Struthio camelus: one gene and its partners. The protein of the gene in region 3 binds, or shares a complex with, the protein of the main gene of each other region. Links are inferred from orthologs where the notes say so. Each region holds a gene or a part of one and is shown on either strand. Other genes may lie near its edges.

The links.
Region 1: CNOT9 (region 3) and CNOT8 share a complex: the UniProt entries of both Homo sapiens proteins name them as parts of the CCR4-NOT complex. The link is inferred for Struthio camelus from reciprocal best matches to the Homo sapiens genes CNOT9 and CNOT8.
Region 2: CNOT9 (region 3) and CNOT11 share a complex: the UniProt entries of both Homo sapiens proteins name them as parts of the CCR4-NOT complex. The link is inferred for Struthio camelus from reciprocal best matches to the Homo sapiens genes CNOT9 and CNOT11.

Annotation. Positions count from the first base shown.
Region 1 is NC_090954.1:11,999,207-12,008,997, forward strand, and holds the start of CNOT8 (CCR4-NOT transcription complex subunit 8), read right to left. Parts: upstream 4,246-9,791; 5' UTR 4,069-4,245; intron 4,055-4,068; exon of another isoform or gene 3,906-4,054; intron 3,772-3,905; exon of another isoform or gene 3,586-3,771; intron 2,941-3,585; 5' UTR 2,858-2,940; coding exon 2,741-2,857; intron 1,066-2,740; coding exon 872-1,065; intron 1-871. UniProt on the Homo sapiens protein: Has 3'-5' poly(A) exoribonuclease activity for synthetic poly(A) RNA substrate. Its function seems to be partially redundant with that of CNOT7.
Region 2 is NC_090942.1:152,288,524-152,298,027, reverse strand, and holds the start of CNOT11 (CCR4-NOT transcription complex subunit 11), read right to left. Parts: upstream 3,552-9,504; 5' UTR 3,538-3,551; coding exon 3,096-3,537; intron 2,240-3,095; coding exon 2,075-2,239; intron 1-2,074. UniProt on the Homo sapiens protein: Component of the CCR4-NOT complex which is one of the major cellular mRNA deadenylases and is linked to various cellular processes including bulk mRNA degradation, miRNA-mediated repression, translational repression during translational initiation and general transcription regulation.
Region 3 is NC_090947.1:28,488,798-28,498,801, reverse strand, and holds the start of CNOT9 (CCR4-NOT transcription complex subunit 9), read left to right. Parts: upstream 1-6,151; 5' UTR 6,152-6,328; coding exon 6,329-6,352; intron 6,353-6,871; exon of another isoform or gene 6,872-7,010; intron 7,011-10,004. Other genes in the region: USP37 (ubiquitin carboxyl-terminal hydrolase 37), read right to left, coding at 618-718, 1,252-1,423, 4,831-4,986. UniProt on the Homo sapiens protein: Component of the CCR4-NOT complex which is one of the major cellular mRNA deadenylases and is linked to various cellular processes including bulk mRNA degradation, miRNA-mediated repression, translational repression during translational initiation and general transcription regulation.

The DNA of each region.
Region 1 (9,791 bases), on a different chromosome or scaffold from region 3:
CATGACAAAGATAATCATTTTGGATCAAATGAGGCATTCACAGCGTCCAAAATACTTCATTCTGATTTCAATACTTCTAAGGCCCTGACAAGGTTGGGGAACTAAATACTGCAACTTTTGGTGTCAATAAATGCATGAACAGAATACATGAACAAGAATTATTATAATGCTTTCCAGTAACATTTTCATAAAATACCAATTTCCAAAAAATTTGTGTGTTTGCCAGAGAAACACTCTCTTTATGTTTCCAGGCAGCTCTAGTGGTATGCATGCTAACTTGTCTTTACAATTACACAGAAAGGGATTATGAAGTTTGTTTCAACTGTACAAAGAAATAACACTGTAAAAGAGATGAGAACTACTGCCATACTCCATTTAACAAAGTCATTCTTTTGAATAACTGTTATGATTCCACCAACGTTTTTTTTTTTTTTTAAATGCCCCAGCTTGTATTTGGCATGGGTCTGTAAGAGGTGTCGTCTTCATTGCAGAGGAGAGCACATCCATTTATTTTTAGCAAAGAGAGATGAATTTTTAAAAGATACAGTTTATAAAAAAAAAAAAAAAAACCACACTATAGCATTGTTCCAGAACACACGTTTACGGCACATACAAATACTGGGTATAAGCCATTTAGCGAGGAAAAGAGTATTAAGGATCACATTTTAGCAGAGCTTTGACTTCCAGAAATACTGCAAACTCCTGTCATGACAAAACAGATTCCCACATAATCTTTCTGTATTTGACTCTGAATTTGTATTGGTCAGAATCATTCACCAGTGATGAACCCAGTGACACCTGCATTTGCCAAAGGAAAACATCAGTGCATCAGCAGAGAATAGGTGATCGTTCCCTAGCTCAGAAGACTCACGTAAGGTTGAATTTGAAGTTAAACTGCCAGGTGTTGATTCCGGAAGGATATTCTCCCTTCTCATTTGTGAAAGTTAGGCCCAGCTGGATAATTTTCAGAAGGTCAACATTACAACGAAGGAGCTGGTATTGATAGTCTATGGAACTGCGGAATTCACCAATTGGCCTTACAACAACTCCAGGAAATTCTGTGTCCTAGTAAAGGAGGGGGGGGGGAAAAAATTACATCACTTCCTTTATTAGCAGTCTTACGTTCAGTTCCACACTTTTAGGTCCCAGCGCTGAATCTGTACATTTTTCTATGAAATTACTTACATAATAGAAGGCAGAAAGGAAAAAAAGTATTTTAAGCTACTGGGAAAAAAAAAAACTAAACAATTCATTAATCATTATATTCATTCATTCATTCCAGGTATCCTCTTTCAGTGTTGTTTCCTTCCAGAGCAAAAAAAAGTTATAAAATCACCCAATATGCACTACTGCATAATCTAAACATCTCTCTCCTGAAAGACTAATCCTCTCATTTTCCCTAAATACACTAAAATGGGCATTTTATATTTATTCAGTGTTCTTTTACGTTCTAAATACAAGTTAAATTTAGCACTCACAGTCTTAATGTGATAGTCCAGCTAGTGATAATCTTCACTGTTTTTGAAAAACAACCAACACCTAAATTAACAAAAGCTACTGCCAATCAAAACAGACTTCAACAAAAGAGAAACTGTGTGTTACATAAAAAACATTTTACTTGGCTAGTGATTGCGTGCTATCTTGACTAAACCTCTAACTTCTAGACTAGTTTTACACTCAAATTTATTCACATAACTTCTGACCAGCTTGATAGAGAACATATCCAAAAACTTTCATAAAGAATCCAGTATTATGCATCTGACAACATTTCCTCCTAGCCTAATCTTTTTGTGTCCAGTCTTACTGCCCAGTTATTCATATATGATATCAGTCCAGCCATTAGCATAGATCTATCTAAACATGCTTTCATTAACATCAAACAGAGCAAAGAAGCAAGAAAGCTTGTTTCCCACCAACTGATGACAACAAAACTGAATCACATTTACAGGATTTTAAGTGTTTCATTTTTGAATAACATATACTCTGCAGGGATATGTATTTTTATGCCACACTTCTATTAAGGACTTCGAATGTCTTGAAGTTTAGACTCCCTAAGCAAAGTTGACATAGTACAATAACTAGAAACAGTTATGTAATTAACTGGCTCCTGCTGAGCAGATACCTATTTTTAAGAGCAGGAAAGAAACCATTCCTCCCATCTCTCCCTTCACCTTGAAACTAGAGTTCTCATTAAGATCCTTGGTCTTCTGAAATAAAACTCTTCGAACACATTGCCACACCTGCAGCCAGAAAAATCTATTCCATAAGAATCAGCATCTGACCGCAGTAAAAAAAAGGAGGCATTCCTACCAGCCACCAAGTTGCAACTTGCAGGCCTTTTGTCCTACAGTATCATGGCATTTCCCATAGCCAAAAGGAAACAGGCATTCAGAGGACAAGTATACCAGTGAAATCTGAAGATTTAAACCCAATTGTACATCTGATCTCTTTAATTTGAGACTGCATTAGTTTATGCAATGGGTATAGTTAAATATTAAATGATTTCAGATGTTGAAAGTGGTTTTCACTTCCCCACCTCTCATTCAATCTGTACGGAATACTATGTTTACCAAAATCCATGAAGTCCTTATAACTGAACAGCTTTCTAAGTTTTCACTACTTAACTTTTAGCTCAGTTTGGTCACAGGAAAACACCATTTCTGGTTCAAGAATCAATTTATTCTCCTGCCCCTAAAAAATCCCCTGACTGTGGCAATAAGGTCAAGTATAACATGCTTACCATTGCAATGTAACTGTAACTTAGAACAATCTCTCGAATTTTCCTCATCTCTTCTTCCAGATTGTTTGCCCATACTTCACAGATAACTTGGCTGTTCTCTGCAAGGGCTGCTGGCATCTTGCAGGGATTGTAGTAAAAACAGCTGATGTTGAATTCAGTTGACAGCGTAGAATTGCAAGCTGTGTGATCTAATCAGTTTGCTGCATTAAAGAGAGAAACATACAGTACTTTACACGAAGAAAGATCTAGGTATCTGAATGAATGCACTAGCAGAGTAAGTCACGTTTCTATTCTTAACCTCAAATAGCAAAGCTAAAGTTTTACACTAACTGTTTCCTTGCTTTTATCACTTCCTTTAAACATGCTGAAAGAGAAGAAAAACTAAACCATCCGTTTGTGTTACAAGAGTAGACATACAATTAATAGAGTCCAGTTATGCAAGTCAATAGTGCCTCTCCCTTTCATCTTCTCCTGGCATAAACTCTGAAACTCTAGGCATAAGATGCACAAACAGGGAATCCTCACACTTAATTTTGCTTAGCTTCCACCAAGGTGCTATTGGGATAGTTTTGAAGACAAGTAATAGATTGCTTTACAAAGGACACTTATAAAGGCAGATGCTTCTCTGATGTAATTCAGGAAACACTGAAAAAGAAAGGTATTCCAGTTTATACTAATGCCGTTTCAGCAGTACAACGCCTAGGATAAATCACACTTGGCATGACTGCTTGTCTATCACTTTCTGAAACCACACGGGCAAAATTATTACAGAAATACGCAGCTAAGGCTCAGGTACTGCAGCAAACTGCCGGTATGCTCGCACGAAGTTAGCTGAGGGTACCTACAGCGGGGAGAGGGACGTGAGGCAACTGCCAGAGCCTTTCTGCGAGCGGCTGCTAATGGCTCGGGCCTCACGGCCGGGGGGCCGTCAGCCGCCGCCGGGCCGAGCCGCTTCCCGGCAGCGGACGGGCTCAGCCGCGAAGGCCGCGCTGCCGCCCCGGGCCCGCCCGGCCGTCCAGGCCTCTCAGGCCGCTGCCGGGCCCGCCGCCACCGGGGGGGCACAGGGAGGGGAGGGGAGGGGAGGGGAGGGGAGGGGAGATCCCGGCGCCCCGAGCTCTGCCGGCGCTGGGGGCCTCCCGCAGCGCCCGGGCCGCCCCGCCCGCACCTGCTGGCGCCGCCAGGCCCCGCCGCTCGCGGCTCCGGGGAGCTGGGCCTCGCCGCTCCTCTTCCTGTGGGCCGCCCGGCCGCTCTAGCCCGCGCTCACCCCCGCGACTCGTCTGCTCCGGCGCTCCCCATCGCCTCCCCGCCCCCTCCCCCCGCCCCGCTACCTGCCCGGAAGCTTGGGCCGGGCCACTCGCCTCCGCGCAGGCGCGATGCGGCCACCAGGAGGGGCGGAACTTCCGGGCTGCCCCCGGCCACCGCCCGCTCTCGCGAGAGATATGGGAAACGGGCTAGGGCGCGCGGCGGGGTGTGTGGCCGGGCGCGCGTGTGGCGCGCGCTCCCGCGGAGAGGAAGGGAGGGGGGCGGGGGGAGCCCGGAGCGCCACGCGGGGCTCCGCCCGGGTTGCGCCTGCGCGGAGCCGTTGCCCTTGTGACAAGTCGCCTGTCTTCCCTCCCCCTGCCGGGGCAGCTAATGGGCTCGCCCGAGCTCCCCGCGCCGGACGCGTCGGGCGAGTCCAAAGCCCGCCCGGGGGGTGAGGGTGGGGGAGGCGTTAGGTGATCTCTCCCTGAGGGACCGACCCCTTCGGGCCGCGCCGCCTCGTTAGCTCGGCGCCGGCCCCGGTCGGGGCGGCCGCGGCCCGCGGGCCCTGCCGGGTGGCAGAGCCCCGAGAGAAACAGCTGCCCTCGCCGAGGGGACGGGCCGCCCCCTTAAATGCCATTTAGGTTACATTAGCAACAGGAGCTTTACCGTCAGGTAAAGCAGCCTCATGTAACGCGTCTGGCGTAACGGCGCTGCCAGCTCTCCTGCTTTGCTGGCCGATGCTGCCGGCAGGCAGGCAATGTATTTGGAAGCCTGTGTAGTTACAATTAAGCGGAGGTAGTACCTCGCTTCGTCCGGGCTGCCAGCCTTCTTGGGCAGGTTTGCAACCTAGAATTCTGCAGCTCTGCTACTGCTGCAGAATTGTTTCCTGCCTGTCATTTGGGTTCCCTTGGAGTCTGTCCTCTTGAACCTCGGCTACCTCCTTACTATTCTGATACAATTATCTGGCGGGGCGAGGGAGTCACTGTCTTTCGTGTCCGACATGTTTCGGTGTCCCAGGCTGAGTATTCATACCTCAGCAGAAATGTAAGACCTCTTAGGATAAGTTTATTTGAATACTGCTGCTTTCTAGCAAGTGTCCTTGATGGTGTCAGCATCTACGGACATCAAGCAGTATTTACTGAACTTCATTTTAATTCAAAGCTTATCTTCGTAGATGATAGTTACTGTTTTGCCATCTCACCTTAGACCTGCAGTCTCTAGGTCATATAATGCATATATTATGCAACATGCTAGACTAGCAGAAAGCAATCACCTTTCTTCCTATGGTCACTTGAATTTGGGCAAAGAAACCTAAGTTGTTATCAGGTAAATACATCGGGATAGATTGCAGCACGCCATAAATACGGAATTAGATTCTTGGTTTTTGTTTGTTTGTTTTTTTTTTCACTTAAAGAGTTCAGAGTAAGGTATGTACTTTATTTTTCTTGCTCATAAGCCCAGCTCTTGAATTTATGTTGAATCCAGGCAAAAAGGGAGGAAGAATCTTCTCAGGACACAGAAATGTGCATGCTTTGTTACCCTAATCGAAAATATGTTGCAGGAAAAAAATCAGTTGGGATAAATTATGCTTAATATGTTTGCCAGTTTGCAACTAGGTTAGAAAAAAAAGCTAGGATGTTTGAGTGCTGGCGGTAGTTTGAAACAGACCTTTTGCTCAAGGAGAACAGAATTTGTGTTTTTCATCATGGCTAATTTCAGCTGCATACAAAGGAAAAATAGCTGGAAAAGGCAGACTGCTCTTAAAATATGTCAGTCCCATAGTTCTTATATTTGGAAGTTACCAGACTTGCTTTCAGATTCATCACTCCAGAACAGGTTCCTGAACAGGCTTCCCACCCTCTATACAGCTCTGTTAAGACGACACTAACAAAACCAGTCCATGTGTAGATGTAGTACGCTGCAAGGAGGATTGACAGGCTTTAGCTCAACATTTTTGTACTAGTCAATATGAGCTGTATATTCCGGATCATGCCCTTTTCAGCAGCACAAAGAGTAGACAGCTTATATATGGAAATCTTAAAATACATGACTTCAGAGTTAAAAGATAAAAGTATTGCTGAACATGTTTTAGCTGTAACCATCATTTCCATTTTCCTAAAACTTCTATTGTTCCAAAGGTGTTTCAACAAGTATTAGGTGGCACACACATGCCCTCACAGATGGTTAGAACTATAGCTTAGTATACAGGGAATTAATGATGAGCTGAGGTTCACGAACTCCAGGATTCATCTTTGTCATTAGTGGAATTATTAGCATGGTTTTATACTATCCTTTAAGCTAATTCCTAGTGTTTCTCCTTCTAATATTTTTTACAAACAGCAAAACAGACAGTGACTACTACAAAAACTGTAGAGAGTGAACAAAGAGAAGTTATTTTATGAAGTGTCTGATCAAAAATCCTTTCCACTGAGAGGAAAGCAGTCTTCTTGCACTCCTCAAAGCTGAGCCTCGGCAAAGGTGGCAGTAACACTGGAGGGTTTTGTGATGAAGATACCAGTGCAGGGCCCAGGCTAACCAACAAATAGAAGCAGCTTTTAGATAACCTCCAACCTGGACTAGACCCAGACTTGCAGTCCAAAAAGTAAATGACATTTTTGTCCTCATATGACTAAAATACTGGTTGTCTGTTCCTATTGGGTGTAGAGCTTTCAGCTGTAACCTGTGTCTGATTTGAACAGGTTTAAAAGAAACTCTGGGGTCTGCAAAACTCCCTGGCTTTTCACCTACTTTTGCGTATTGGGTGAACAGTTCTCCTAGTGAAGAGCCATTCCAAATAAGTATCAGCTCAGGACAACGTTCACATGGCACCCCTCTCGTGAAATGCCATTTTCCACTTCCTCTTCTGTGTATGTGTAAATAGTTTGAAGGAATCACTTTCCTTCTTGTTGAGTCTGCTGTATGCTAAATAACAATTAGGAGCAACTGCTAAGAATTAAAAACTCTTTTGTCACTAAGAAATAGTTAGAATTAGTCAAGAGAAAGCGTCAATGCAAACAATAACACAGTCTTAAATCTGAAATGAAGCAACAGCAAATGGTTTTAGCGCTAAGAGGACAAACAGTGTGATGTTGGGAGGGGAGTTCTGGGAATATTCTCCTTCCAGAAAAAGTTAATTGGTAACAGCATAGGTATAGTGCGAGGTAGAAGAAACCAGGCACAGACAGCAAGACACTGTCATTACTCATGCTTGCAGATCTCTCCGCAGCTCTAACCGTGGCTAGCTGAGATGTTGCTCACAAAATAGCACTGTATATTGCTTCGCCTATGAATGCACCAGACAAGTTTAACTAGGAGGGAGAGGAAATACTCCTTATTTTTTGTTGTGTGGGAAAATAAATCTGGAAAGTTATGGTGAGTAGTAACACCCTCCCTTCTCAGAGTTTGGTTCATAATAGGGCACTGTATGTTAGGTAAATAACGTGTATTGGGGCCACATCTGCATAATGAAGACAAATGCTACTGCAAATTACATCTTGCTACCTGTAATACCATAATTACAGACTTCATGGTCTTTAAACATCTTATTTAAACAGAACTGAGCACATTCTAAGCTATTTGCATCTTCTGCTTATAGGTAGTTCCAATACTGTAACTGGTGTAACTGGTTTGAAACACACTGTAACAACAGAGTTAGTGCAACACTTACTTATATTGAAAACTGAACTGCTTTTTTTTTTTACCAGATTCCCCAATAACCCGTACTGTTTTTAACAAATACACTTTTGACTTACTCAATTGCACTGACGCTTTGTTTTGTGCTCAAAACATGAATTAGTGCATTATAAAAGATACTCATCTTTAAGGTGTAGCTGGCTTTTTTATTCCCAGATATAAGCATTAACTCTCAGTGGAAAACTCTCACCTGCAGAGATACATTCCAAATGCTTAAATGAGTGACAGTGTGTGCATATGCAAAGGGAACACTGCCTGTACTAGCAGTGACATGGCATTGGCTTCACATGACTTCTCTAGGAGGGGACAGCCAGCTCTCGATTGGAAACACACCCCTGTCGCCTTTGCCTAAGCCCTCATAAAGTTTCCGCAGCGGGAGTGAAAGGTGAGGAGTTGAACTCTGGGCTCTGAATAGACACAGAGGAACTCTGCTAGGCTGCAACCAGCAGGAGGTGAGCAAAGAATGGGCAGCCTGAGTTCAGGGGCAGAGTAGGTTGAAAATATATGACAGAAACTTCAAGGAAATAATTTTAAGGCAATGTCATGTATCTATTTAAAATGTGATTGTGAGCTCTTGCAGGTACTCTGGTTGCCTTCAGATCCGTGTGGTGCTTGGCACGATAGGACACCCACCAGACACGAAATATAGTCCTGTGTCTGTCCATATAGCGTGGCTAAAATGCAACTTTTGGAGTGACCAGGTAGGTGGTCCTTAAGTTTTCGTTTCTGTAAGTTCTATATTTTCACAAATAGTTATAGCCTTTTTTTTTTTTTTTTTCCCCTCGGGCAAGGTTGTTTTCCACTGCCTGTGCACTATAAGGGTGGATTCCAGTGAAGTAAGTTCTAAAATAGAAGACTCAAGCAAGAGGGAAAAAGGCAGACCAAGCAACTGCTAGGCAGTCAGTCCATCATTACAGACATATCCTGTTGGTCAGCTTCTGCACCTGCCAGCAGCCTGACTGTTTGTTTGGTGTCAGAACAAGACATACATCCTGGGTAAGTACAAGGAGAAGTGGACACCGGTGCAGTCGAAGCTTGGGACTGTCTTGGCAAGAGGAAATATAGGGGGACAACAGATGTGGGATATAAACAATAATGTGAATTTTGAAACAGACCTCAAAAATATGGCAGTTCCTTTTTCTAAAGCTTTCTAAAGGTTTCCCTTTCAGCTTACGTCAAGCATTTTAAAACCTGGCTTAGACAGACTATCTTTTTCTGATAACTGGAATGGTTAAGTTCAGTGAAAACAGATCTCTTCATGAACAGTTGCTGGAGAAATGAAGAAGTACTTGAGAATAAAAATTGTATTTTGTATTACAGTTCTTTACTGACTAGTTTATGTTTTCCCTTTTACATTGAGAGTGTGACTAGCAAAATAATTATTATTACTTTATAGGTGAGAATTTGGTTTGAATCAAATTTTGTATTAACTAGTTAGAAATAACCTAAAAGAAACTCTTTTAAACAGCATCAGTTCTGTGTAATATTTTGAAATGGCTCCAGCCAGCCAAACTCTTCATTGGTTGATTCTGGGCTGTCTGGCATGCCAGCATGAGTTTAATGCCAAGGGGTTGGATGGAATGTTTGGTTTGCCAAAGCAGCCATGGTTACATGAATGCTTCTGCTAATGTATTTGGTGTATTCTGAGTCAGAAAAGACAACATTATCCAACAAAAAAAGAGTAGGTAGTGAGATGGGGAAAAACATGATCAATCAAGATTTACCTTGCTTTAGTATAAGTAACATAAAATTTTATTCTGTACATGTGACTCAATAAATGTAGCACATACTGAGATTTTGGAGAGAGGAAGGAAAAGCAAACATGGCAGCACTATTTCAAATGGGAAGGCTTTGCCTAAGTAAGACTCCTGTCGTAATTTGATTATTTCAAAAGGAGGAGGACAATAAATGTGTTCATTATTTTAATTCTTTCCCAAACTCACAGAATATAAGACGGGAGCAAGCAATGGCTCTTTTCCTTCGTAAGAACTCAAAGCAGAGTCACGCTCTTCACTGTGCTCAGCACTCTAGTCTTTTGCCTGCTTAAGATTTAGAAGAGTTTGACTCAGCACTGCTGTATGGAATCTTTCTGGAGCATCACCTTCCAACGAGCTAC
Region 2 (9,504 bases), on a different chromosome or scaffold from region 3:
AAGATACTACAATGCATTAGAAATCAATTTTCAATACTGGTCAATTACCCTTAAAACAAGTAAGGGTTATCAAATGATATCAAAAAGTTAAAAATGCTTTGTCGGAGACATGTCCCTCCAGCTACTAGAAAGTGACATTTTTGATAGGGTAACACACCAGGTCAAGAAAAGCAAGTTAGAGAAACAGACAGAGGCTTGAATGAACGTTCTGCAGACCCAAGTAAGAGAACAAACCAAGCTTTCACGTTGATTCCCATGACACTGTTTTCCAACATTCTGTTCTTAGAAAAAAAACAAAGCAAAACAAAACAAAAAACCCATGCTATAGCTGAAAAGGGAAGTCGTCATGTTTAACTTAAAGAATGCGTAAATGATGCCTCAGGTCAGACACCAGAGGACAAGCTAAGTGCTTTTTTTTCCCCATTCATGAAAAAACATTTGGGACAGATTCACTGAAGAGCGTAATACTTTCTAACTAGCTTAAGTGGATTTCACAGATACAATCTAAAGTAGCTCAGAAATCATTCTCCTCTAAGCAGCCCCGAATTCATTTCGGGGACAAAAAATCAAAAACAAAAATAAGCAAACAAACAACAAAATCCACTTTCCAGAGCCATGAAGCCTTACAACTTTTACGTTCCAGGAAACATGGAGAAAAATGGGACAAATCCAACACCTCAAACATCGTATTTAAGCGTTGCAACAGAAATAAGTCTGCACTGCATAAACAGCACAGCTTCATCTTGCATTTTGAATCATTAGGAGAAACGCACTGTAAATTTTTCAGAAGTCTTCAGTATTTCTGAAACATTACAAGTAGACAGTCAAGAAGCATGACAATGTTGAAATAAGAGCGAAAAGAGTCAACTTCTAAGAAAGTGGATAGAAAGAAGACATTTATTCTTGGAAGCTACAGCTCGAAGTATGAGAAAGGCAGCATAACGTTTTATCAGAAGTACAGTATTGCTATGAGTCTTTGCAAGAGTTATATAACAAAGCTAGTTATGCATGTTTACTATCTTAAGTAAACATACGAGCACATCTTACAGGGCTGCATTTTGAAAAGCACCATTAATGACTGTACTGTTTTTAAAGACGCCACTGTCTTGCACTTTAAAAAAAGGGCAGAATAAAATGCATTGAGTACCCATCCATACAACTGTGACAACCCCTCAAAGGTAGGTTAGTGTATTCAATGTTGCATTTTCAAAACATCCTGCAGTCTGGAAATCATGTCTGAGGAGAACACCAAAGAAGATTTATACACTGCAAACAAGGGACAGTATAACAGAGCATAAGAAAACAGTGACTGATCCTGCAAAAAGCGATGAGATCAAAATACAACGGTGGGACTGAGAAAGCCTAGTCAGTGCATAATTCAGAGAGGTGAACCACATTATATAGATAAAGAACCAGGAGGATCAGTTTTCAGGTGAGTAAACCCATTTGCACATAACTGGGGAAAAAAAAACCCACTAATTTTTGCTGTCTAGACTGGCTCCTCGTCCCCCACAATATTTTCTATTTCAGATTACGTCCAGAAGACGAAACGATCAGAACAATCATGCTCCTTTCTCCTGTCAAAGGATAAGCATTACTTTGCTTTTCTTTTCAACCTAGCAAAAGCAGACCGTGCTCCCAGTCTCGAGCTCACACTTGAAAATCTGACTATTTCATAAAACTGGAGATGCAATTGTAATAGCCAATCTGCCAGCTGCAGCTGAAATACTGCTATGTGACAGTTATCCTATGTTCTTTCATACTAGAACTACTGCAGAGAGTGAAAAGAGATGAAAACATTCATGGAAAGAAAAGAAACAACGCTTTAGATGAAAATACTTTTATACTTGTGAAAATATCTTATTTTTAAGGCAGTGAGGACTTCTGCGCGTAGGAAATTGCTTTTTTAAGTAGAAACCTCAAGCACAGATTGCTTTATCCTATTACTCAAAACCACTGCTGAACCTTTTTAATATTTAGGATAGGCAAGAATGTTTCCCAAGTAGCTCACAGGCAAATTATAATTAACAGTTGAATTCTAATTGAACCATGGCACACTGCGGTTCTTCCTTACCTGCTAAGGCTAGCTGAAGGCCGCTTATATCCACTGACTGGGCCATGTTCCCTACATCCATTGAAGCAATCTGCCGAGGAGTCTTCTTGAAGAGCTCTCTTGGGGGGGCCAACATCAGTTGAGACAGAAAGAACTTTTCTGGAGGAGTTATGGGAGGTAAAAAGCCTATGAAGACACAAGGAAAAATAATCCCTGACTGTTAGGCCAGCCACATTAGTACTTTCAATAGTCTTCACGGAGAAGCAGCAAACAAAAACAGAACACAAACTACTGTATGATTTATGCTGACATCAGTGCAACTGAAAAGTCTTTGTAAATACACACAAAACCTGTATCTACTCAGCTCCTAAGGTAAAATTCAACATTATACCTACTGGTTCTTAAACACAAAAGTAATCTAAAAGCAGAACATGCTGACATGCAACACCTAACACTAAGTCAGTCATAAGTTTAGACTAAGTAAGTTTAGATAAGTTTACATAAATAATGAGCTATAAAACATGACATGATATGCACCGCCATTTATACAGAAAGTAAACCAAGAAAAAATTTAGGAAGTGATTTACCCATCACTGTCATGCATGTATTTACTGCTGGGGGAAACTGTATCACATATAGGGTTCCACGTATTTCATTACAAAGTTTGTTTCACCGCTTTTAAGAAGCTGTTGAGAAACTCCTATTACCTTCACGACTTTTGTAAAAGCTTACTCACGAAAGCTCCGTTTTACGGTCCAGTCAAGCAAGCTCTGCCAGACCAGGCCGCACGGGCACGGCAACGCTTTAGCCATGAAAAAGCGCCACCGTTTTGCACTCCCCGCCACCCCCGGACGGGAACGCCTGCCGCTCTCCGAAAGCCTCGAGAAGCGCTACGGAGGGCAAACGGCCAGGCGGCTCCCAGCGCCTCAGCCCGCCGCCGGGGGGGGGGGGGGGGCTGCCCCCCAGCAGCGCGGCCGGGCACCAGCCGCTGCCCCCCGGCCCAGCACCCCCCCCCCGCTCCTCCCCACTCCCCGGGACGCACCGGAGAGCGGCGTGCGCTCGGCCTCGTCGCCGCCGCGCTCGGGCGCGGGGTTGAGGAGGTGGGCGAAGACGGCGGCGAAGGGGTTGGCGGCCAGGGGCTCGGTGCGGTACATCTCCCAGAGGAGGTAGAGGGCGGTGAGGCGCTGCGCGGGGCTGGGCAGCAGGTCGGGCTGCTGCAGGAGCAGGACGAGGACGGAGCCGAGGCGGAAGTGCTCGGCCTTGCCGAAGTAGTGGTGGAAGGCGCTGGAGAGGCCCTCGAAGGTGCTGCCGCCCGCCTCCTCCGACACGATGCTCAGCAGGCTCGACAGCTCCTTCGGCGACAGGCTCATCCTGCCGCCCGCCGCCGCCGGGCCGCCGCCCGCCCCCGCCGCGCCGCCGGGCTCCTCGGCTCCCACCTGAGTGCAGGGCGCCGGGCTACTGCTGCCGCCGCCGCCACCGGGCATCCGCGCCCCCGCCCCGCCCCGCGCAACGGCCACCGGCCCCGCTGCGCCCCGCGGCCGCAACGCCGTGCCGGCACCGCTTTACGGCGCTGCCGTAAAGGCAGTGCGGGGCCGCAACGGAGCGGGAGGGCGGGAGGGAGACTCCGGCTTGGCGCGGGGCGGGCAGGCGAGCGAGCACAGGGCGCCACACGCGCGCGCGATCGACCCCGGCGATTGGCCGCCTGCACGTCCCCGTGGAAAGCGATTGGCCGGCGCCGCGAAGCGGGGAGAGGGGGCGGGGAGATTGGCCCTGGCTGCGCGGCTCCGCGTGCTGCCATTGGTCCGCGCCGGGGAGGGGGTGGGGCCGGAGCGCGCCGGCGGCTGGCAGCGCGCGGCCGTTGGGGCGGGCCGGCAGGGGGAGCCCGGCGGCAGCCAGCCGCGGGGGGGCCGCTCTGCGCGTGCGCGGGGGCGGCGGGCCTGTGCGGGGCGGGCGGGGGCGTTTTTCTCCCTTCCCTTAGTTTTCCTCCTTTCCCTTTTTTTTTTTTTTTTTTTTTAATTAGAGGAGAGCAACAATCCCAGTGTAAGGTGCATGGGGAGCTGCTCGGCTTCCTGGTGGCCTGCTGGACAGACCTCCAGGGAGATAACTGCGACTAGAACCCACACAGCAGGGTGGCTGTCATACAGCGATCTGAAGAAATGAGGTGCTGTTCAGGAGGAAGCAAAATGGTTGACCTGTAGCTGCATCTGTAGCTCTCTCCATCTTTGCCTGTCCCTGCTGAGAGGTAGATTTAGCATTGTTTTCTTGGCTGAGGAGAATCAATCACAACTGCTTTTAACAGCAGAGCTATTAGGTGATTGATTGCATTTTCTTATGATATCCTTCAGTTAAGATCACTGACTCATCCGAGTTGCTTTCTGAAACAACAGATGAAACTTCCAGCCCAAATGTCTTCTCATGTCATAACCCAGAGTGGGAGCAAGGGCACGTGCCTGACACGTGGACAAATGTGTTGTGAAAGGTTGCGTGTCTGAGGAAGAGTGACAGAGAAGAACAGAGAAGCCAGGGCCGTGCGTCAGTGAACAGCCAAGGCAACCTTGCCAATTCCTGCTGTTGAAACGTGCTTATTCTCGCTGTCCACTTTTGTCCTGCCCAAAGGCGATCCTGGAGCTGGGGCTCATCTGTTTCTTCCATGAGCTGATTCAACTGGAAACTATCCACTGAAGGGTTTCTTGCAAGACCTGAAGGCCAGTGGAGCTGCAGTAGGGTGTGACTGGAAGAAAGGGAGAAAGATCTATTTCATCAGCTTACCCTGTGGAACTGCATCTTGAGATCGACAGCAGCCCACAGACAGACCAAGCACAGCCTGAAGAAGTGCTGATAATAGTTGAACGAATGTTAGCCATGTGGAAGACGGTCTTCTGAAAGCCTTGTTGGTATAGTGCCTGTTCACTGACTAGATCACTGTGAGAAATCTGCTTGCAAAATACACAGGCTAAACGAGTAAAGGAGATGGAAGAGGAGGCTGGTGAACTTGCTGTCTTGGCCCAGAGTATATTCTAGGAAACAAGGAGTCTTGGAAGTTGGGGCAGTTTGGAACTTACTAACAGCTACAGCAAGGACTTAAATTGTAAGATTTGGGAGGAAGATCAAAGGACTGCAAACTGCTGAAGGAAGTCATCTATGTAGGTGTACGGTGAGGCTAGCAGGACCGTAAACCTGGGAAAGTTTAGACATGTAGGAGAGCTTTTCTGCCTTACTTGTGATACATAGAGGAGGTTGATTACCCCCACTGAAATAATGTGAAAGCTCGGTAGTTAGGAGAGGAAGGTTCCTCAGAACTCAGATGGCTTTCTGGAAAAATAGGTGGAAAGGATGAACTTCTGCACCTGGCTTGAACACTCAGTCTTTGAGGAGACATTTCAGCTTACAAAGAAACTGAGGATATGCAGAAGAGACCAACTTTATCTTCCCCTCTGACCCACCAGCACTCATCTATAGAGGAATTACTGCAGTACTCTGTTCTTGTCGGGGAAAGATTTTTTGGTTTTGTGGGATTAAAGAACCATTGTTCACTGGGGAGGTGAAACAATCTCAGTGGTCTGCAGAGTGGAAGAGGCCCTAGTGGCTGTTCCTCTTTCTCTTTGAAACAGCTATACAGACGAGGGAATCTGGTTTGATACAGGGATATAAAAGACTTGGGAGAGTGGTAGCTTATTACAGCAAAACTAGGTTTTCTTGATAGGAGGTACTGGACTAAATGAAGGAGACTTGTATGAGTAGCTGTGGCTAGAAACGTCCATCATTGTGCACAAAAACAGTGAGGTTCATAACGTTCATTGAGCTCAGTGCCCTCTCCATGACTGCTAGTAGAAGCTTAAAGAAAGGGTGTAACAGGGAAAGCACAGAGTGACACTTCCCCCTGTGTACTCTCAGCTTCTGGCCATCTGCAGCTTAGAGACTTCCTGAGTCAAAGGTTGAATCCTCATCACTGTGATTAGTGAAATGGAACTTTCTTTCATGAGCTTGTCTTACGTGTTTTTTGAGCCTGTTTATATTTCATCCATAAAACTCTGTGACACCGCCAACCTATGGCAATGAGCGTGGCAATTTAAGACCCCTTCTGTCCAAAACAGTACTTCCTTCTCCACTCTCTTCGTCACTCATCATTCTGTACATCTCTTACTTATCTTACCTCAGGTGTTCTCTTTCTAGGCTAGATGTCTCATTTGTTTAATGTCCTCTTCTGTAGCATCTATTCCATAGTTCTGTCATCCTTATTGCCCTTCTATCCTGCTTTTCTACTTCTGGTATATCCTTTTTTTGAGTAGTGAGAACCAAACTTGCATCCAGTGTTCCACCTGTGAGTGTCCCGTAGATCTGTAGGTTTACACACCTTTATGTAATGAGACCTGTTTTGTTCTCTGTTGCTTTTCCAGTAATGCCTAGTATGCTGTTTGCTGTTTTGACCAGTGAGGGTTGAGCTGACACTATCAAAGAACTGTCTTCAATGACTCCAGGTTATCTTTCCTCAGCGGCAATAGCTGGCTGGGTAGCACTGAACTCTACAAAAGGGAAGGATTCCTTCCCTTTCCACCCCACCCTCGCTGCAGTATTTTACATTTATCAAATATTTGATTTCATCACCATTCCACTTAGTCATTCAATATTATGAAAATCTCCTGCAGTAGTTTCCCATGAGTTTGACAATCCTGAATGATTTTGTCTCACTGGGAATCTTTGAGCAGCTGCAGCATGTACCCAGGAAGAGTGCATCATCAGTCCCTTTATGTACACACATGGAGGTTAATCCTCAATGTCTCACCTCTCTGGGCACGTTTCTGTTCATTGCTGTAGTTTCCTGCAATGTGTACAGAAATTGGACTTGGTGGTTTGTAGTTTGTTGGATTATCTGCATGACCTTTTTAAAGATTGATGTGACATTTGCCACCCTTCTTTCTTTGATACTGAGACCATTTTGATCAGCAGGTACACCCACAGTTCATAGGTTATCATCTTCATCCTTCAGCTGGTATAAATCTCTTGAGTGAATCCCATCTGCCACTGGTGATAAATAATATCTCATTTTAGGCAATTAGGTTCACTTCTTTTACTAACACTGCAGAGTAAGACAGTTCTCTTGACTTGTACCCCGTCAGTAAAGGTTCTTGTGTGGGAACGTCTCCCAGATCTCATGTAGAGATGCAAAGAATTAATTTGGCTTTTCTCTTAAAACCTTTTCCCCTCAGTGTTTTTTTATATCTTGCTCATCTCTTGGATTCACAGACTCTCCAGATTTTCTGCCTTTGGTGTGCGAGCAAAAGTCATTTTTTGTTCATTTTTGGGACGAAGTTTGTTGTTAGGGATGATGACGCCTATATCTGTGGCTCACGCTGAAGGACACTTTGCTGGATGCTGTCTCACAGTTGAATAGAACTGTGGTGCTTCTGTCCAGATGGTCTTTTTTGTACAGCCTACTTCTTAATAACAAACTCTGCTGAAGACAGCAGAGCAAAAGATTTGTTGCAAGAGGAACAAACATGTTTAGAAAGAGAAAGCTTCTTCCTATAATTTGCAGAAATGTAAGTCACTCTTGTATAGCATATTTACTGGAGTAATGGATGTAGATTTGCAGAAATGGACTTCAGAGCAATAAAAAGTTTCCCCGGGTGACTGAGATAGCAAAAAAACCTGTGTGACTCATATGTGGCTAATGAAGCCATCTTAAATTATTCTATCCAAATGAAAAGGTTTCTGATCAGAGCAGGAAAGCTAACAGTTTAGAAGATGGAATACTTTATAGGAAGTGGGATGGGCAGCAAGCATCAGTTGACAAAGTAGATAATGAAGTCCTCATGACTTTTAAAGCAGATGTCCGTTTTGCGGGAGCAAAAATCTTAGCCTAAGAAAAAGATGGGGGTAAAATGCTACTGGGACGGGAAGTATAGTAAATGTGCTACAAAAGAGGGTTTCCATAACTGCACAAGGTGCTATGTTTTGTGAGCATATTGAGCATACGCGTTTTGTGAGCGTATTGCTGCTGATGTTCTCAGGCTTGAAACTTGTGCAAGGAAGAACCAAGAGAATGTGATGCTAGCGGAGGCTCAAATGAATGAATTCTCGCCCAGATATGACTTCTAAAAGGCACCACATTACTCTCAAGGGGGAGATTTGGGACGCCAGCTATTTCAGTGGGTTTATATTCCACGGAAGATGTATCACTGCAGCACAGTCTCATGGTGTAAAGGTAAAGAAAAGTTCCGTTTTCTGCCTTTGCAGAACAGCTCTTCTGGGACTATGCAGCGCATACCCCCTTTCTTTTAGGTGGCTTATAGAATAGCCATTAAAAGGTCCGTAAGAGCATAAAGTGTGTTCCATCATTCTTTATGTTTGGATTTGGCTAAGAACCTCAGTAAACTTCACGCATTGAGTTCTTAAAGACGGACAAAGGGATTTGGGCTGTACTTGAATTACTGACTCTCCATCTCTAACTCTGTCCTCTTGGCTCATACATTCTAATAAGGATGCACAGATTCCAGACTAAAAATGACACAGACAGTCTGGTTGGTCAGGTAACCCCTTTACAAATACAAATAAAACTCTACAAACTATTTGAGTGCCAATATGCAATTGGTGTAAAATTTAAATGAACACTAGCATTTGAGAAATTGTAATTGTTATTGGAAAATTAGATCCATGACCAAAGGAGCATATTCAGTTTGATTTGACTGGGCTTCCTCTTAGGGGGCAAAGCTAAGGAAAAAGTCATATAATTGCATTTCAGATAGCGTTTTGCCTTCTTTCCTTCTTAAAATAGATTATGTTATTGTTTGCTGTTTTATTTTAGATGACTGCCAAGGAACAAGAACTGCATTGTGGGTGCTAGAAAAAAAGCTGCTAAGGAAGGAGCAGTAAAAAAAGACAGCATTAGGAAGGAGAAACAAGAAAAAGGTAAAGAAGCTGTATTAATTTGACTTGTTCTGCCTCAAGTATTTGAGTTCCTTTTAGCAAAGAGGCAGAATACTTAGGAAACAACTCCCAAGAGCATATTTTTGATCTCGCATTTCGTTTGGGAAGAATATGGCTGGAAGGAACTAGATCACACCTTAAAAGGCTAAGGGGAAATTAAAGCACTTCCAGATTGTTCTGTTTATTCTCATGTGACTTCTCTCCTGGAGACAAATTCCTTTCCTTGATAATTTAAGTGGCCAATCCCATCTACAGTGTATTTTAAATAGAAACAAATCAGAAAGGCGAAGGACAAGGTGTGCTTTGTCTGCATCTCTTCATGCTTATCTGTCTAGCATCCATTGCATGTTTTTCTTCCAGGTCCCTCTTCAAGACGTAAGATGAGACCACCAATGCAGAAATGGATTTTGTTATTCATGGTGTAATAGACAATATTGGCACACAAACAACGCCTAAAAGCTTTCCTAACTAGCTATATGAGTAACTATATGAGAATGATTCTTCACTTTGTAGTCGGACCTCAA
Region 3 (10,004 bases):
GAAAGTATATTCACAGAGATAACAACATAAACTAAAGCCTGAAGGCACACCATGAAATTTGTATTATAGAAGGAGGAAAAGGATAAACAGAAGCAGTTTCAAGAAAACCATTTTTAGGGAGAAGTCTGTGACGTTTACTTGAAAAACCGAGCAGAAGGGCACAAACTCAGTAACTCTATTTCACAAAAATATGGCCAGCAGCTTTTCAATACATATATTTGGCTGAAACCTCCTAAACTCATTATGCTGACTTTAACATGCTCAGGTGCAGCGTATTTCAGGTGTTCGGTATAAACAAAGAGATATTCAGAACTATGTGAGAGGCAAATCTTAAGCATGTATTTTTCCCTCTGTTTCTACTTCTCCTTTGCCTGACTAATCGCTCAGCACTCTTCCACAGCCAGATGCTTTTTTCCTCAATCACGCAGAATAGGAGACGCACCGTTGCCACAACGCCCCATACACATCTATTCCAAGCCCTCTGGATTACAAACACTTCGGGTGCAAAATAAGTACTAACAGTGCCATTGCAATGTACAATAAGAGCATAACAGGAAGAAATGAATAAAAGGAAATTAGAGAAGAGGAAAAATTTTAACTTCAGCAGTTTAACAAACCTGGTTTTCTATATAGGAGAACTGTCTATTAGCTTCCTTCTGTGTGGTCCTGCTGCCCAGCACACCTCCAAAGCTGCCAGATCCCTGAGAGGGTTTCCCAGCTGACAGCGAAAGCACACAATATTTAGTTTGTCATTTAATTGACTGGCATTCTTATTTGTAAGAATGTTATCTACAGCTGAATTTGGAAGAGATACAGCAGATTTCCAGACAGTACAATATTCTGAGATCACAAACATAAGCTCATTTTTATGAATATCTCTTATATTGGTTGTTTGCTTAAAGGGCACTACAGTCCCTACCCTTAAAAAGATTAAAATTAAATAAGAGGAAAAATAAAAAGAGTCTTTGCACATGCGATGAACACAGTTTTTCGAATACACACCTGCTTACAACATAAACAATAAGTCCAAGTTTATTTTCTGCTTATTGTTGAGCATGACAAAGGTACACGATGAGAAAGGTGTGTAACAAAAATTTGGGTTCGAGGCCAAAAAGCAGCACTTACACAAATGCAGCACGCAAAGAAAGTCAGTAACACAAGGAGGACAGAACAGCTAAAGGTGAAAAAAGAAAACATAGCATTTACCCTTCCCCAACCTATCACTAATTGATTTACAACAATCGTACTTACCAGTATGAACCCTGTCCTGATGGACTGCATCCAAATACATCCGCATTTCATTTGCGTCTTTAAATGGTACCTTATCAATTGTCAGGAAGCTGGTATCCTTTAGTGTCAGCATCAAACAGCACAGTTTTCTACCGTTTGGTCGTAAGGTCACAGTTTTAATATTATGGCTTAGCTGAAAAGGAAAAAGTGATTGTAAACACAAATCCAATTTAAAAAGATCAAAAGACTAATACATTCCAACAAAAAACTTCAAGAGAGTAAGAGGTACTTACACAGAAATACTCCCCCCTGCTTCTTTTCGAGCAAACATTAAGCCTCACAGAATTAATGCAATCAGTTATCCTGGAAACTGACAGAACTGAAAGGACACTATCGCTATAGCTGAACAGTCCCTGTACTCCCGGACAAGCTTTCTGAAACTTAGTTCGCTGTGGAGTGTGATGTTTCTGAACATAAAGGGGTAAGAGCTTCATACAGTTCCATTTAGCTGTCTGAAACTTCTACATAAAGTCCGAATTATTATTTAAGATGGTGAAAGTTTAAAAGTTTTGAGTTTCAAACACTAAACACAAACTTCCATTTAGTTTATAATTTGCTCTCAGGGAAAGCAGATTTGACATAGCTGAAACAACCCAGTTAGGAAATAAGTCAATAAGAAACATATTTAGTCCATATGCAGGATTAAAACAAACGATATCAAAAGTTTCAGGGTTATGGTCTATCCCAAGAATAATTTTAATAAGAGTTTGTGCTCCCTAATATCGCCACTGCTGCTTTATTCTACGTTATACCATTATATAATTGTTACTTCTGATAAGTCACCTTCAAGAAATTGGCCGTTCAGTAACGATTCCATCCATGCAGCCTAAGGGTAACTCTTAAAACAGAGGAAGTAAAAGCGTATCTTGCATCTTCTGGGTAAATGCAAGTTTAACGACGTATACCTAAGTGTATCCACATTTTAAATTCCTTTGTCCTTCTTCACTTAATGTTTCATTTTGCTAGTCACTTCTTTAGCCTTGCCTAAGATTAGGCGCTAGCTATGCAACAAGTTCCACGCCAGTATACCGCTGTGTTCACATAGTCCTCCAAACAACACTGGAAGCCACAGCCAAGGTCATTGGGCAGGCTTTTACTACATCCCTGTGTAGTGCCTATCAGATTGGAGGCTTCTCCTAATTCAGCCATCTGCATACTGCCACACTATCAGTATAAACAAAAAGGACTCGTGATTGTTATTTAAACTTGTTCAAGTTTTACTGTAAGACAGTAAAACGCATACCACGTCTATCGGTGAGATTTCCCCCGCCCGAGATCACTAGCTTTTTGGGAAGCTAATCTAGACCTACCAGCAGTTTATGAGAGAGGCTGGAAATCCAACTCAAACAGAAACTAAAGGGTTTATTTTGCTGGAAAAATTAAACTTCTGTAATGTTTTATGCTTAATTCTTGCTCTTAAAAAAAAATTCAGAGACTGAAGAATTGAGAAGAGGCTTCAAATTTTTCATCCTCGCGTAAAACATGGAGCCCACCGGAAAGGGATTACAGTTTACTTCACCATCCCAATGAACAACCCATTTCAACTCAAAATGCTACTATGAAAGGACTCTACGCATACTCTCCATGCACCTATTATGACCCAATAAATGTTATAAAGTTTTGGGAGGCAGGGGCAAATGAAATAGTTCTTTTAATACTTATCTACCATCTAGCCCAACCTGGTCAAAGCTTTTAAAAATCTGTGAAACGCATCATCTTATGTAAGAAGTTGGATGAGGCACTAGTGGTTGTGGAAAGAAATATAACCCCGGATCTATCCAAATGTTTTATTATAGAAATGAAAAAAGGTAGAGAAAGGGTCTGTTGTACTCCCAGAGCAACTTGTCAACAAAGAAAGAATGCTACTTCTAAAATAGATTTATCAGGCATTTGTCACACCTGTAACAGCACGCAAGAGCACTCTGATGGACTGGGGGCAGCTGACGTAAACTACAGTCAAGTGCAAGCCTGTGGTACAGGGGGCAGTCTGCTTTCCCTGCCTGCTGCCTGTTCCCATAGCACTCTTGTGCTCATACTAGTGTCTGTGTTGCTGCAAGATAAGCAGGACTGGAAAGCAGACCCAGTTGAAAAATAGCCACCACCAAAACGTACAAAATTTGTCTAAGGATGTGGCTGCATACTTGCTCCTCTTCCTTCATTGCATTCCTACCTACATGGCCCATGCCACTCCCTCTACCAGATCCGGCATACAGTCCCCTTCCTTGAGTGAATTCAAGTTACTTTTCTGCCAAGTCTGTGAAATGAACTGGCTCACAGAGATATCTGACAAATGCCAGAGCCAGCAGACGGCAGCAGGCTGCGAGCAAGACCTGCCCCTTAGGCCACGATTAGTTGTTACATAGGTTCAACCTCCCTGCGGACCTATGCTTCAAGTCACTGCGATGCCGCGTTAACGCTTGCCCGTGCGGAAAGGAACGTGTGAGAACAAGCACCCCAGGAAGGTACGCGGGGAAGAAAGGACCGCTCTTCTCAGTTGCGACATGATCTAACGCTGGATTAAAGCAAACATGCAGTCATAGCATCAGATATGAGAAGACAGACCATTCTATCTTATACCTTGATTCAAAAGCAACACGGGCTGATCTAAGTGCTAATTGTCGTGGCTGTTAGGTTCGTTGCTGAGACTTTTCAGCGCGCTAAGGCAACAAAACCTGATCTTTCAAAAATAAAACAAATTATTCTTCACCATGTCAACGCACAGAAGCGGCTCAGAGAAAGGTTTGATGAACGCTAGAGCTGGAAAATGATTGTGGCAAGAAAAAGCAGAAGCCAACACCTAGACCAATTAAGGCTGCTACAAAGTCACTAACTGTTAGAGGGTCTTTTCTTAAACTGCTCGTGCCCTCTAACATTTTCTAAAATTAGACAGTAATTTCTTACATAAAAGAAATAACTAGGAAAAGGGAGATGAAAACAACTACAGAATGAAAAGAATAAAAAAAAAAGACAGTTTAGGCTGAATATGGGAAGAGAATCCCTAATAATAATCTGCCTCAGTCTCCCAGTGCACAAATCACATTGTCTGGCATATTTAAAACTTAAAACTGGGCAGAACTGTAATACATATATAGCACAACAGTGTGGTATAAGCAATTAGAAAAGCTACAAGTATGTTAACACTGATACTCTTCAGCCAGGAAAACTGCTAGTATAAATGCAATCCTTTAGGATCACATGGAGCGTCACCTCTAGATTCTGCAAACTTATCAGTAAGGTTGCATGTTCCAGAACTTTAAACGTGTGAAACAAGACAGTGTATACTTCGGTAGTTTTTCCTCTGCTTTTCATTTCTTTCTATTCAATCGTAGGCTTGATGCTGACCTCAGCAGATCCTTTAACAATACACCTGAATAATTTACAGGAGAGTTATACAAAGGGATTAGTGTTCAGGAAATGAGGAACAAGAAACAGGGACAGAGGGAAGTTTATGCGACTCTTAATAGCCTTGAAGGGGACAGCTGTTCAAAAAAGGGCACAAGCCATGCACTGCTCAAACAAAAGCCTGAATATTTGCTATACCTGAAATGTCTTTGGAATTCCTCCAACATTGTAGTGAACCACTAGACTCACTTTGTTGTCCTTCTCCACAATTTCAAAGCTCCCTTCTTTCCATTTTGTAATCCCAGTCTGCATGCTGCGCATCCGGACAGGTCCATGCACCTTTAGTGGAGCCATGCTTTCTCACAGAAAAGAACTAATAGGAGTAAGCGTACGTCACTTTAAAAAGCTGTGGAAAAGAAGAAGATTATAACTAGCTAGTAGCAAATAGTCTCTACAGAAAGATAAAAATAGGATTAAACATTTCTGTAGAACTTTGATAAAAGTAAGCTTTGCTGTTTCTTTAATCCACCTGAAGGAAACGCAGACCAATAAAAACTTTCCCAGTTCGGACAGTAACACACTGACTCCTAAACGCATAGAGGTGAGTGGACTCAACAAAGACACAGAAGTTCTTTCAAATCTTTAAACCGATTTCCACAGGTTTAAGGAAATTAAAAAAAAAAAAAAAGGCGCACCTATCTTCAGGAAGAAAGCGTAAAGTTGATAAAGGGGAAGAAAACAAAGTTTCAAAGGGACCCTACACCGGAATTACTTTGTTTCCGCTGTGACCGGAGACCAGAGAGGCTCTTCGGCGGGTCGGGTTACCTCAGGTATCACCGGCAGGTAGTTACCAGCGCGCCTGAAGCGCCGCCGTGCGCTCGGCCCCGCCCGCCCGGCTCTGCCTCGTCAAGGGACCGGCCCGGCCAAGCGGCGCCGAGCCGCGGGGCTTCCCCGCCGCAACGGGGATTCACGGAGGGGGAAAAAATAAATAACAGCAATGAATGGGAGAAGCCCGCGGTCCGCGAGAGGGGCGGGCGGGCGGCAGGCAGGGAGGGAGGGAGGGAGGGAGCGGCGGCAGCCGCCTCGTCGCCGACACACAAGCCCGGCCCGGCCCGACCCGCGCCGCCGCTGCCGCCGGGCCCTCAGCGCCGGGGGGGGGGGGTGAGGGCCGGGGGCTGCGCGCGCAGCGGCGGTGGCGGGGGGGGAGGGGGAAACGCGGGGGGCGTCCGGTACCTGCGGCCCGGCGGGTCCCGGCGCGGCGGCGGCGGGGGAGGGGGCGGCGGCGGATGGCGGGAACCGGCCAGCAGCGCCAGACGCCGCGCGACGCACGCACGTACGCACGTACGCACGCGCCCTCGCTTGCGTCAGCGCTGCGGCGCCCTTCCCGGCGCGCCCCGCGCCCTCCGCGCCGCTCGCCCCGCTCCGCCCCGCCCGCATGCGCCCGAGGGGCGGCCGCCCGCCCGCCCCGGCCCCCGCGCATGCGCGCGCCGCGCGGCTCCGCTCGGCGCCCCTCCCCTCTGCCTCCGCCTGGCGCGCGGGCGGCGGCCGGGCGCGCGGCGGGGTGAGGGGTCAGGGGTCGCGGGTCAGCGGCGGCTCTGCCTCTATGGCGGCGGCGGCGGCGGCCTCCTGAGCTGGGCGCGGCGGCAGCAACAGCAGCAGCAGCGGCTCCTCCTCCTCCTCCTCCTCCGCTCCCACCATGCACAGCCTGGCCACGGCCGCGGTGAGACCCGGCTGCGGGCCCCCGGCGGGCGGGTACCGCGGTGCGGCCCTTAGCTGCGAGGGGCCTTTTCGCCGGGGCGGACGGGGGCCGCCTGCCGCGGTGCCCGGCCGCGGTCGGCTCCCTGCGGGGCGGGGGGAGGCGCCGGCGGCGCCGCCGAGGGAGCGCTTCCCCGCTCTAGCTGCGCTGGGGGGAGCCCTTCCCGCCCCTCCGCGGCTCCCTCCTGCCCCGGGAGGGCCGGGGCGCTTCCCCGCCCGCGGGGCCGGGCCCGCGGCGGCGCGGCCACGGGCCGGGGCTCGGCCGGGCCGGATTTTCCCTCCTGCTGCTGACCGCGCTCTCCCTCCGCGTCTGGGCGTGTTCCGCAGGTCCCACCACCTCCGCTGTCCTCTGGGGAGCTTTTTCACTTCTGGCCTTCACTACAGAGGCCAAGACGAGAAAGTGAAAAGTCCCTCAGGGCAGCAGACGAAACGTGGGAGGAAAGGCAGACCAGACCGCCTTTTTCTTCTCTGCTTCCCCAAGTACCTTGCAGGGCAGTCTGTAGCTTGTGCTGTTCCCTTCCTCCCTCGCGGGAAGCTGCCGTGGTGGGACGGGCTGCCGGGCATTAAAGCTCTCAGCGGTAGAACAGTACCTTGACCCAGCTGGCAGGATGGTTCCACAAGTGGAAGTTGAGTTTGGGAGGCTGAGCAATGCGGTTATTGCTTTTTATCTCCCATCTGAAGGGGTTTCTGTTTTGTTTTCGTTTCTCCAAACGCTCGTTCATTGCATGTATGAGACTTCCCAGAGCTGACTGAGTCTCTGGTGCGTATTGTGTTTGGGGAAGTTTACTGCAAGGCCAACAGTTAGAGCTGTTCTCATATTCGCTTAGCATAAGGATCTGCTTGGATTGAAAAACAAGCAAGGCTGAATAAAGTACTTATGAGCAGGAGTTGAGGGAACTTCTTAAGTCTTCCACTTTGTTTAAGTGGTCGTGATTGTAAATTGGTTCTTCGAGTGCTGGCAAATACTTATGATTTAAAGTGACACTTTCTGGAGCACAGAAGGGTATGCAAATTCATCGTGAACTCTGTTAATCAGCACTTACATTTTTATAGCAATGTAATTCATATGTGCTTGTCAAAATGCATGAGGGATTGTTGTGTTTCCCATTAATCCTCTATCTGTAGTCTAATTGTCTCCCTATAAGAGGATTTTTTTGAAAGACAGTTTTAATAAAATAACATGATTCAGGAATTAAATTGCCTTTATTTTGTGGTTCGTTTGAACATATCTTTAATTCATATGTAATTCCTGCAACCTGATAGTTCTGTATTGGAACAATTCTTGTCTCGGTCAGTTAGCATGCAGTAGAGTAAGTGTGTTTTGGAGGGATGGTCATCTCTGGAGAAGTGCTTGGGAACTATGGTAGATAATGTTACCTCCTGGTTGGATTGTGAGTTGGCTCAGGAATTCCCTTGGGCATAGTGAATGTCATCACGATAAACTAGATGGTAAGCTAGAGTATTGGTCGTTTTATAGTGATGCCAGAGGCAGAGATAATACTTAGATTTTAGGCCTGAAGATGGGATAGTGTGCTAGAGAGGAAGACTTGAGATTAGACTAAAAACAATAAATGTAGCTTTAATTAGCAGCCAGGCAGTGAATCTCTGACTTAAACTACCTAATTCACTACTATTTAAATAAAAAGTTCATTTTAGTGTTTTGGGGTTGGTGATCTATCAAAATTGTTATAAAAGCATGTACATCCAATCAGTCGATGTTTCGTTTCCTCAGTCGGTATTTTGACCAGCGTGCCTAGCAGTAGCTGCTTAAATAGGAAAAGAAAGCCACTTGCCTAAACTGAGTTTGTTATGTAATTGTTGGAGATGTAATCTGGCAGAGATGTTTGAGGTAACACCCCTTCTCATGAGGAAGGTGTTGCAAAATCTTTCGTGATGCAGAGGTGGCTAGTTCATGCTGTGTTAAGATATTGTTGGTAATTTTTGCTTTCCTTATGTGCAAAAGAAAGTCTACCTGGGAGGGTCCTACCTTGGAGCCTCTGGGGTTTTCCAGAGCTTTAGGTTTTGTGTGTGTGTGTGAAACAACAAAGTAGGACAGTAGGAAAAAAAATATATTTTTGGTTAAACTAAGATGAGAGGAGCAACTGTAGGGCTTAAGGAAAGCAGTTGGTTCTTGTTAAGACAGGTATCGGACATGAAAAACTTAACTGTGTGGAAAATCTACTTAGTCTTCTGTAGGGATCGCAGGCACATGATTGTGCTTTTAAAGGGTCGATGTATTTAAGCTTACAGGAACTGAAACTTCCAATGTGTCTAGAAAAATAGATGGAAGCTTTAAATAACACAATTACAACAATGTTATTGCTACGCTGCTTGTTCCTCTGCCGTTCCAAACAAAACAAATGAGCTCTGTTCGTTCTCCCTCTCTTTCTTAGCTCCAGTTTAGGAGTTGCCATTGGAATTGCACTTCAGCTCTTAAAACAAACCAAATTTGTCAGTGTTACTATCTTCATGTGAGATTTTGGGAAAAAAAAAGATGTGAGGTGGCAAGAGGAAAAAAAGGGGGATAGCAGGAAAGATGAAGAGTTAAAAGCCATTTCAGCTCCACAGTGTAGGGATTGGTAACAGCATATCAGCTTATATGCAGGCATGCAAGATAACTGATGTGATGGAAGTGGATGGGCAATAAACAAATTACAGTTTCTGCTCAATATAAATTCCACAGCAGGAAAAGAATGACAGCAGATATAATATGTGAATAAACTGTGGAGGGCTTGCAGAAATAGAGATGGAAAGCTCTGGAGGGGGTCTCATCCTGGGAGGCTGCCACTGACGTACGATTTCAGTTTGGCTTCCAATCACTTTCAATTCCTGAACTCATTTGTATTCTCTTCGATGACTCAGTGATGAGCTGCTTCCTAGTAGTGTTGCTGTCAGTGCAGTACATGCAGTGCTTACATCTGTTGTGGTAAGCGCGTGAGGAGTTTCAGTCTGTGTGCTTTTTGTTTGTTTGTTTGCTTTTTTAAAGAGAGAGAGAGAGAGAGAGAAGGAAATGCAGTCAGTTCTCTGTTTCCAGCCACGATTGCTGGGTATATGGGGATGCTGAGCTGGCTGCATGCAGGCTAGCTCAGGAGCGGTAGCATACTAATAGAGCTGTGCTCTATTTGAGCAGCAGACACTGTAGGAGAGTGTTTGAATAGGTTCAGAACTGACTTTTAGAATTCAGACAGGAGGTTTTAATGTCTAAGTTTATCTGCTGTGAAATTTTTGATCTGAATCACTAAACTGTCTCTTTAGGAAGCCTGCTGAGCATTTGTTTGCACCTTGAGTGCTTATTATGACAGCAGAGGCATGAGACAAGCTTTCGCTGAAAGATTTGCTCCTTTACCTTTCCACAGAAACTGTGCTACGATTCCATAGTACCCATTTATCTTCCTTTTCTTCCCAGCTCTCCCCTGTTTTTTGTTTGTTTGCATGTTTTTTGGCCTTGATGTTATTCTTTGTCTGATATTCCACAAAAGGCAGAGGAGAGATTGTCATGAGTTTTTCCTGAGTAGTAGTAAATACGCCTTGACCGTGAATACAGATCTACCCTTCTTTGGTTTTATTTGGAACGTGAATTCTTGCACAAGACCAAACACTTGAGAAATTCCCTTTTA